Xenopus tropicalis: one gene and its partners. The protein of the gene in region 1 interacts with the protein of each later gene in a pairwise test. Links are inferred from orthologs where the notes say so. Each region holds a gene or a part of one and is shown on either strand. Other genes may lie near its edges.

Region 1 (3,660 bases):
GAAATAGTAGGGTGGGGTTAATCTTGCAGGAAGGCACATTTACTGAAAGCAAGGAGTGGGGAAGTACATGGGCAGTTGCTTGTGCTTGTCTGATGATTCTTGCTTGAGATTGCGCATCACAGTCATTTTCCTCTACTTAAAGAGAAGGACAGGCTATATAACCAGGGTGTGCCAAAATGTTAGGCACCCCCCAGTGATTGTAATTGCTTAGTGAAACCCCAGCCAGGGTGTATGCAAGCTTGTGGTCCTTCTTCTTGCTTCTGTTCTCTTGCCTTATATTTATTTGGAGGACTGAAAACACCATAAAGTTTTTATAAAATAGTATTTAACCCATTCCTTGCTGGCAAAGAAGAAGAAAGCCTGCAGACACCGTATGGTGTATGTTTTAAAGTGTAAGGTTGCAGTATAGGAAAAGGCATAGTGCCTAGCAGTGTGCTTTTTATGATATGTTTTTTTGAGCTGGTAAAATACTGTTCTACCTGCACCTGGCTATGATTATTTGACAAAAAGACAAACATCATGGGTTACTGCCCATGTGGAAATTTGCCCAGTGTTTATAAATGAACCCCAATTATATTTGACTTCTGTTTATCTCCTCTTTAGTCTTAAACCTTTAATTATAGAGAGAGCAGAACATGCAGCTGTGATTGGGAGGTTGCGTGACATTGAGAGTCCTTGCCTTCACATCTCTGATGTACATGCACTAAGTAAATAATTTCCAGGTCACATGGTTGGGTGCAGCCAAAAAATAATTTTTGCTCGGTGGCCCAAGTGTAATTATTATTATTAACCTTATGAGAACTTTTGTGTGAGATACTGGCTCTTTAATGTAGCCAAGTAGCTGTAGTGATCTTATATAGAACTAAGATAAAATAGTTCTTACAATTACAAATCTTTTTCTCAGGCTGAAGCAGAGATTCAAGAACGTTATTTTGATCCCCTTGTAAAAAAGGAGCAACTAGAAGAGAAAATGCGAAGCATCAGAGAGCAAGAATGTCGTGTAGTTACTTGTAAAACGGTGAGTATATTGTAACAAGAATCCAGTTATTTCCTTTTAGACCTTTAAACCTTTCTACTTGTGTCACTGTAAGGAATATGTGAATATAAAGCCATCTTTTTGTATCCTGCAGCATGGCTTTATACAGTAATTTTTTTAGGGCAAGGTCATTGCACACGGGGAAGGGTTCTCCTTTGTTATGGTTTGCGAAGCCAGTAAGTCTGCCCATCAGACCACTTTTTTTCCCTATGTTGATAAACTGTTTCAGCTTTTCTGACTTTTCCCAGGCTTCCTTTCTATTATTAAATAATGCAGACTCTGCTCTAACTTCATTTTAGTGTTTATCATTTTTGTCCATGAACCCAAATGAAATGGCAGAATCTGCTTCATGACCCAAAACTTTTTTAAGAACTAGTTATATCTTAATTACTATTTTCTGTAGGTGTAAGATTTGTAAGATGTTATCATGGAGCCCACCCTAAACTGCATTGAAGAACCATCACATTTATCTCCAAGGGATATTGTTTGCAAAACTATGAGTTTAGAAAATAATTTTCCAGCAATGCAAAACAGGGCACCATGATATACTTTACTGACCTCTACAAAATTCTTTTTATTTTTTTTTTCTGCACAGTGCAAATACACTCACTTCAAACCTAAAGAGACATGTGTTAGTGAGAACCACGACTTCCATTGGCACAATGGTGTGAAAAGGTTCTTTAAATGTGCCTGTGGTAACAGAACTATATCCTTGGACAGATTGCCCAAGAAGCATTGCAGGTATGATACTCGTGAAAAAATTTCTGACTTTATTGTGCCTGAAAATAGTCATCTCTTACTATGCATGCGGTAGTTCGTGCAGGAGGGTTAGTGAGTGGATGAGCTAATGCTGACTGACCCCTTTATAAGGCTGTGAGAGTATCCAGTAAACAAGTATTATTGGCAGATTATGAGGAGGAATCTGAAAACCTATTCCTAAGGCAATTATAGTCAGTTATTTTCATTCAGGATGCTGCCGAATAAGTCCTACAAATCTCCCAGCCAGGGAAGCTTGGTGTGATACTAGGAATTCTAGTTCTGCAGCAGCTGGGGTACCAAAGGTTGACTGTCACTTCTCCATGCTTTACACACTGTATGTAATCAATTACGCATTTATTTACACTGTTCGTTATGTAAATTAAGCGGTCGCCATTTGGGAGGTACAGAGCACAAATCTAGTGTTTAATTTGTACCTTGTTAAGTTGGTCATTAGGGATAGGAAGGGTAAAAGATTAGGGGCATTGCTAATAAATTATAAACTAGTTGAAGAAATGTGTTTGGGTTAAGTGCTTAAAACTAGTAGATGTGCTGCTTATAAGAACTTAAGGCTTGATGGAGGGGAGGTTGGTGACAACAAAGGGTGGGGAAGAAACTATACACCGTGTTCACTGCAAAAAAACATGATGCTCTGTTCATGCAGGTTTCTGTTTACATGGTTTCTAGCTAATTATGTTGGATTTAGTGGTTAACAGATACTTTTAGTCACATCAAACATATTACCTACTGAGCCTGCATAAAAAGACCATACTACCAACACCAGTGGTTCCACACATCCATTTGTCTCTGATCAATGCCAGACATTTGTTTTCATGGCTGATTGCCATATACAGTGGAGGAAATAATTATTTGACCCCTCACTGATTTTGTAAGTTTGTCCAATGACAAAGAAATGAAAAGTCTCAGAACAGTATCATTTCAATGGTAGGTTTATTTTAACAGTGGCAGATAGCACATCAAAAGGAAAATCGAAAAAATAACTTTAAATAAAAGATAGCAACTGATTTGCATTTCATTGAGTGAAATAAGTTTTTGAACCCCTACCAACCATTAAGAGTTCTGGCTCCCACAGAGTGGTTAGACACTTCTACTCAATTAGTCAACCTCATTAAGGACACCTGTCTTAACTAGTCACCTGTATAAAAGACACCTGTCCACAGAATCAATCAATCAAGCAGACTCCAAACTCTCCAACATGGGAAAGACCAAAGAGCTGTCCAAGGATGTCAGAGACAAAATTGTAGACCTGCACAAGGCTGGAATGGGCTACAAAACCATTAGCAAGAAGCTGGGAGAGAAGGTGACAACTGTTGATGCGATTGTTCGAAAATGGAAGGAGCACAAAATGACCATCAATCGACCTCGCTCTGGGGCTCCACGCAAGATCTCACCTCGTGGGGTGTCAATGATTCTGAGAGAGGTGAAAAAGCATCCTAGAACTACACGGGAGGAGTTAGTTAATGACCTCAAATTAGCAGGGACCACAGTCACCAAGAAAACCATTGGAAACACATTACACCGCAATGGATTAAAATCCTGCAGGGCTCGCAAGGTCCCCCTGCTCAAGAAGGCACATGTGCAGGCCCGTCTGAAGTTTGCCAATGAACACCTGAATGATTCTGTGAGTGACTGGGAGAAGGTGCTGTGGTCTCATGAGACCAAAATAGAGCTCTTTGGCATTAACTCAACTCGCTGTGTTTGGAGGAAGAAAAATTATGCCTATGACCCCCAAAACACCGTCCCCACCATCAAGCATGGGGGTGGAAACATTTTGCTTTGGGGGTGTTTTTCTGCTAAGGGCACAGGACAACTTATTCGCATTAACGGGAAAATGGACGGAGCCATGT
Region 2 (2,966 bases), on another chromosome or scaffold:
CATCCTGACCAGGCAGTAGCTCAAGGGTTTCCTCGGCACCTGGGTCAATTGCCATTGTTTAGACGTGCCAAAAGAATAAAGGAAAAGAGAGGAGAGTAAATGATGCCTGGCAGGTATAGAAAATATTAATCGCAATCGCACTCTATTTGCAACAAAGTTAATGCGCAGTTGTGTTCATTTTAACAAACTGAATGCAATTGCAGTAGGTGCAGTGCAATTGCATCAAGAGCATCGCTCATTTGTGACTACAATGACACTGGAATTGTGGGGAAAAACATGACTTTAATAAACTTATCAAGGATGTAAGGATTTGTGCTAAGCATTCCTCACTTATTTACCTGAATAGTCCCTTTTACTAAATTTATATTTTCAACACTGATTTAGAAAAGCACTTTAATAACAGTATGTTGAACATCTGACTTTTAATAACAAAATATTGATCTGTAATATAGAGCACTTGTCACTGCTGATTGAATATGTTTGGCAGAGCCTGATTAAGGTTACCTACATGGGGGAAAACTTTTGGATTATTTTTTGTTGCAAAGGTATTTCTAGGTATTTTGAGTATAATTTTTTAGTATTGGCAATTAAGTTGTAATTCAGAGAGTGTGTTGTCTCTTTTTATTTATGTTAAAATACAGTTCACTTTCTGAGGTCTTTCTGCACAAATAATCGCACTGAGAGATTTCAGTTTGGTGATTTTTTTTTTTGTATTTGCCATAACCTGGTATAATACCTTTACAGCAAATTTGTGCATCTATGTATCTTAAAATTAAGAAATTATTTGTATCACTGAATGACCTTCATTGTAGAGCAATCAAAATAAATTGTCAGTCTACTATAAAGCCCTGTGAAACAAAACCCCTCTCTTCCCTCAGCTACAGCCTGTTAGGCTTTAAGATGAGAAGCAGCTTTTATACTACTTTCTAACTGCTTTGATTGTGTTTGAACTGCTAAATTGATTTGATTGTGCTCTTAAAAACCATATTTAGACTTGAACTTTTAGATTTAGTGCAGCAAATAACACATGCATGTTTCTTTATTATAACAATTGGCAACAAGAATATTCATCATAAGCCCTATTCATCAAAAGCCCAGTTAATTATTGAAATGTTTTTATAACATGTAATTTTTCTTGTTTTTACAAATCGCCATGTGAAATAAAGTATGTATGTATATAATTATAAAGCACTACTTATGTACGCAGCACTGTACAGTAGAATAGATTAATACAACAGGGGGTTATTAAAATAATAAATACAAAGTATAACAATAAATACAAATAAATACTAGGTACAGTTGCAATAAGTTAACAATCAGAAAGACAAGAGGATGGAGGTCCCTGCCCCATAGAGCTTACAATCTAAATGTATTTTGGTTTTTATCACAGTAAGTTTAGGGATTTTACTTGTTCCTTCATTTTACCAGGTACCTTTGTATCTGCTGCTATTGTTTGATCTGCTACTGAGCACAATTACAACAGACTGCTGATTAACATCGCAAAAATCTGTACCTTCTGTTTGGTTACCATTACTTTAGCAGTACCATGTTTGTTGGTATATGTGTAGCATTATATGAACGTGTAAGGGCATATGAAATATATATCTTTTCAAATTTTAGGGTATGTAAACAAAAAGCTAAATTTTTTTAATGCAAAAGTAATTCTAAGCAATGTTTTAATATACATCAAAAACATTTTGATGGTTTTAACACTTTGTAAATGTAGAATTGAAAGCAACATTTATCTGTCAAATCTTGAAACAATGTAGCAGAAATCAGCTCTCCTCCAACCAAGGCTCTCACAAAGTCTTTTAGATCCACAAATCAAAAGGTTACCTTGAGACTAGCAGATAACTGATTTCACTAGCTGTTAACATTTACAAATAACATTAAAACCGCTAAAATTTGTGTATATAGGGGCGTTTTAATTAGGGCTTTTTTTAATAATTGGATTTAGATTCCTTTTTAAGGGGATATGAAATCCAGTTCATGTAAATTAAAGTTGGGATGTTTTCACAAACTGGTATTAACATTGCTCTATTTCCAAATTGTTTGCAAGGATCATATTCTGATAGAACTGAACAAATCAGAATTAAAAACAATGGATGATTCAAAGGAGACAAGTGAAGATGCTGCTGAAGATCGAATTTTAGTTGTGAATCCAAATTATATGCTGGAAGATTAAACAGCAGTTTATGTAGGCAAACATATTTGGTACAAACTTTTCTTGCGAATAAAAGGGCGTAATTATGTCATGGTTTCTATGTCCAAAAGAAATGTAAAGTTAAATATATTAAAAATGATTTTGCTATAAAATTCCCTTTTGTCAGTTGTGAATATTTCTTTTTATTTATAGTGGGGCAACTTTGTGCAGAAAATACCATTATATTACAGAAGAACAAAATGGGAGCCGTAACACTGCGCTGCACTACAGTAAAGCCACATGTAGCATTTTTTCAGCAAGCCAAAAATGCTTGGTGAGAATATGCCTGGGTTGAGCAAGGTGGCTGACCAGGTTGCCTAGGGCATCAGGCATTGCACATTTTGCCTCACAGACATTTGCAGAGAGACTGCAGAGGTTACTACTTTTTACCTTACATTATTCAATGGAGTTAAATCTATAGTTAGTTAGATAACATTTAGGGGCAGATTTACTAAGACACGAATGCTCGTAGCGTTCATTCAAATGGTCTGAGCGTATTTTCGCCAAATTTTTTATCGCTTGCGCGACTTTTTCGGCGCCCACGCAAGTTTTCCATACGCTTGTGCGACTTTTTTGTACGTTTGCGCGAAAACATTGGAAAGGTTTTCCCACTGTTTACGATCGTACGGTACGAAAATTTTGTGACTTTCGGATCGCCAGTACGATATTATCGTGACTAATACGATTTTTTTGTAAACATTTTCGTGATATTTGTGATGAAATTTTCATATCCAATCCAAATTTATCCCATTCGGGATTCGAA
Region 3 (3,660 bases), on another chromosome or scaffold:
ACACAGCCAACCCGGACTTTGGGTGAAGTGACTTGTCCAACATCACAGGGTACAACCAGCAGCCAAGGGTGGAATTGAACCCGCGTCTCAGTGGGGGTTGCCTACTGAGGGCGGATCCCCTAACCACTCGGCTACCTGGGACCTCCCGAGTATAAGAGGATCTATTCGTTCTCTTGTCTTAGATATGATGGTGATGTCATAACGGTGTGAAGGAAACATGCAGGGTTAAAGCCGGCTGCACCAAGACCTGTATGAGTAGGGGGACTGTTACATAAGCAGAGAGAATTAATCTGCAAACTGTGCTGCACTATTCATAACATAAAAATAGGCACAACATCGATTTGAAAAGTGTTTGACCTGAAAGCAGGTGCCTGTATGGCTATTCCAGCTGGACCCAATAAAGCCCTATGTGGGTTATATGAGAGACTTTCCATACAAGGCTGGCTGGCACTCTTATATCATGTATACTAACCGTATAAGCACATCGTCTTTAAATGTTGATTGCATCAATGTCTTAAACAGATTTTGTGTCTGTATGTCTATGTATATCCAATAATATATACGTAATTATGTTGGGTTGAAAACCCCAACGTACTGTTCTTCCACTTTAGCTTCTTCCGCTTCTTCTTCTTCTTAGCGCCCCCCCATTTTCTAAACGCTACTCCTCCTACAGTTTTAGGGGTACAATACCCAAACTCCCCACACATCTTCGCCCTATAGCAGAGCAGGTTGCTTGTGCTTTTCTAAGCGATCCGGACCCCCGTCTTTTTGTGGCGCCCTTCTGAACTCCCCAATTTTCCCATTGACTTTGACAGGGAAGATTTTCAAACTGCTGCCACACTTACAGCTTTGAAGCTACACTCCCCAAACTTGAATAACATAATCATGGGGTCACCCCGAATGAAGCAGCAACATTTGTTGGATGACCCCAAAGTGGGAGGGGCCAACAGCAGCCAATCATATTGTACCCATTGACTTTTATGGGAAACTGCTGCCAAACTTACAGCTTTGAGGCTACACTCCCCAAACTTGAATCACACAGTCATGGGCTCAGCCTGAATGAAAATATGATGATTGTTGGATGCCCTCAGAGAGAAATCCGGCCCTGGGACTGGCAGCCTACAGAAGGCTCTGTTTGGTATTATACTTGGTTTTTATGCAACCAAAACTTGCCTCCTTACCAGAAATTCAAAAATAATCATCTGCTTTGAGGCCACTGGGAGCAACATCCAAGGGGTTGGGGAGCAACATGTTGCTCACGAGCCACTGGTTGGGGAACACTGGTCTATGGTAATCACCCCAAACCCTTTTCTGATTGCATTTGTGAAATTATAAAGATGTTATTAAACATCTAATGCAGTGTTTTCGGTTAAATGATTAAACATTTATAAACAAGGTTGTAGCATGGCCACTAAATATGGTTTCTGGCCTTAAAGGGGTTGTTTACTCTTGAGTTAACTTTTAGTATGACATAGAGAGTAATTGGAGAAAATTTGCATTTGGTCTTCATTTTTTATTATCTATGGTTTTTTTAATTATTTCACTTATGTTCCGCGACTCTTCAGCTTGGGATTTTTAATAATTACCTGGCCAGAGTTCAGTGACCCCCATCTAAAAGTTGTAAAGAGTCCAAATCAATTTTGAATCAAATCATAATTAAACAAAACTATTCATAAATAATGAAGACTAGTTGGAAAGTTGCTTAGAATTGGCCATTCTTTAACATACTAAAACTTAACTTTAAGGTGACCCCCCCCCTTCCCTTTAGGGGTGAAGACACACAGAGCTACTAGTTGCAGCTACTTGTCATTGTCACAGCTACAGAAATAGATACAGCTGATCATTTACTGATTATTTTCTCTACATGTGTTTTAGCAAAGGCAATTCTCAATATTGTCTATGGCAGGGTATTTTCTGGCATTTAGTAGCTGTGACAAGTAGCTAAGCTAAGTAGCTCTGTGTGTCTTCATTTAAGCTAAGCTAATGTGTATAACCCCCTTTCCTTTTGTTAGAAAAAGGAATTATTTAGGGCGTTGCTAATGAATTGGTTCATTACTTTTTATTAGTTCATTACTATTTATATTGGGTGCAAACCACTAACCCATGCATTTAAATAAGACAAAGACATCCTGTTTAGTTAGATCTGCATGCAGTGATTTATAGAAATCTTCTAGGCTGATCAAACTACAGAAGGCCCCATCTGGCATGGCTTGTACCTATTACTGAACAGCAAAAAGAAGCTGTATAAAGAAAGGCAATTGTTGATCCAAACCCATGTTTCTATAAACAAACTGATTTTCCATTGTTGTTGTGTTCCTCTCTTATTTTTTGGTGTTTATTATTTCCATAATGCTGCATGCTAAGTACCACTATAGGTTTGACTCAGGTGTTATAACTTAAGCTATTTCATCAAACCTACAGGCATTTCTAGTGGCATCGTCTCAGTGGTTTCTTTATTTAATTGTCTTGGTTTCTAACATGTCTGTGCATGTGTGCTCCTTTGGTGATGAAGTGAAGGTCCAGCACCCAGCTGATGCTTATGAGACATGTACGATAGCATTCAGTGAAATGCAAGTTAGGCTTGTTCCCTTTCTGTCTTAATTGTTTATTTTTTATAATTCTTTTTTAAATATTTGCCTTCTTATTCTGAATCTTTCCAACTTTCGATTGGGGATCACTGACTCTGGTAGGCAAAAACTGCCCTGTAAGGCTACAATTATATTGTCTCTCATTTAAACCACTGTCTGGTTGCTAAGATAGATTGAGCCATAGCAACCTGATGACTGATGAAATTCCAAACTGTAGAGTTGCTGAACAAAAAGTGAAATAACTTAAAAAATGAAGACCAATTGCAGATTGTCTTACACTATTACCCTATACATTATACTAAAATGTTAACGGAAAGCTGAACAACCCCTTTGATAAATGAAACTGGAATGGTGTTTGTGGCCCCTATCTTTTCAGTAATCATATACCTTTTTGAAACAAATATCCAACTCTTCTGTTGTTTCCTTGCTCTGTGAGCTAAAAAATAGTCGTGATTTTTTTTTTATTTTTATTTCCCCTAAGTGATACTCCACATAAAATTGTGCCTTTGTTTTTCTACATGGCTGCATTCTTCCGCCCCTGCACTCATTTAAATTTCAGTGATTGATAGAGTGTAGCACAGAACTTCTATTAAGGTGCCAGCATCTATCCCTGTGTGGAGTGTGAAATTGTGTGTAGGTGTTGGCATTTAGAGAAGGCCTTTCAGTAACATGGTAAGAGACATTTTCACACTTAGTCACTGCTGTCTGATGCGCTACTGTAGCTTTTAGGCTTCTTATAGCATTTTAACATTTTCAGTGCTGTTATTAATAGTGTTGAGCTCAGAGATGAAAGGGATGCGCGAGACACCGTTCCATTTTAATCACCTGGTTGCCGAGTTTAACCCCTGTGTTCCCACACTGTTCTTTTCTAACAAGTGTTTTGTATTCTGACAGCTGCTGTGTGCTCCAAACTCGTTCTGCACATATTGCCAGGGATGAGCAGTGACAGCGACATTGAATGTGACACTGAAAATGAAGAACAGGAGGAAAACATTACGTGTGGTGGATTTAATGATAGCTTCACATCGCAGGCTCAAGGGGAAGGTAAGGAACTGTGCTGTTATCATTGCAT

Evidence for each region.
Region 2: the proteins of mcm10 (region 1) and mcm6 interact in binary tests that used the Homo sapiens proteins (3 or more experiments, as listed by UniProt). The two-hybrid records come from large-scale screens. The link is inferred for Xenopus tropicalis from reciprocal best matches to the Homo sapiens genes MCM10 and MCM6.
Region 3: the proteins of mcm10 (region 1) and trim37 interact in a two-hybrid assay, tested with the Homo sapiens proteins (2 studies listed by BioGRID and IntAct). The link is inferred for Xenopus tropicalis from reciprocal best matches to the Homo sapiens genes MCM10 and TRIM37.

What each region holds. Positions count from the first base shown.
Region 1 is NC_030679.2:81,877,865-81,881,524, reverse strand, and holds part of mcm10 (protein MCM10 homolog), read left to right. Parts: intron 1-904; coding exon 905-1,018; intron 1,019-1,631; coding exon 1,632-1,777; intron 1,778-3,660. UniProt on the Homo sapiens protein: Acts as a replication initiation factor that brings together the MCM2-7 helicase and the DNA polymerase alpha/primase complex in order to initiate DNA replication. Additionally, plays a role in preventing DNA damage during replication.
Region 2 is NC_030682.2:59,226,744-59,229,709, reverse strand, and holds the end of mcm6 (maternal DNA replication licensing factor mcm6), read left to right. Parts: intron 1-2,059; coding exon 2,060-2,185; 3' UTR 2,186-2,306; downstream 2,307-2,966. UniProt on the Homo sapiens protein: Acts as a component of the MCM2-7 complex (MCM complex) which is the replicative helicase essential for 'once per cell cycle' DNA replication initiation and elongation in eukaryotic cells.
Region 3 is NC_030678.2:95,276,500-95,280,159, forward strand, and holds part of trim37 (E3 ubiquitin-protein ligase TRIM37), read left to right. Parts: intron 1-3,482; coding exon 3,483-3,632; intron 3,633-3,660. UniProt on the Homo sapiens protein: E3 ubiquitin-protein ligase required to prevent centriole reduplication. Probably acts by ubiquitinating positive regulators of centriole reduplication.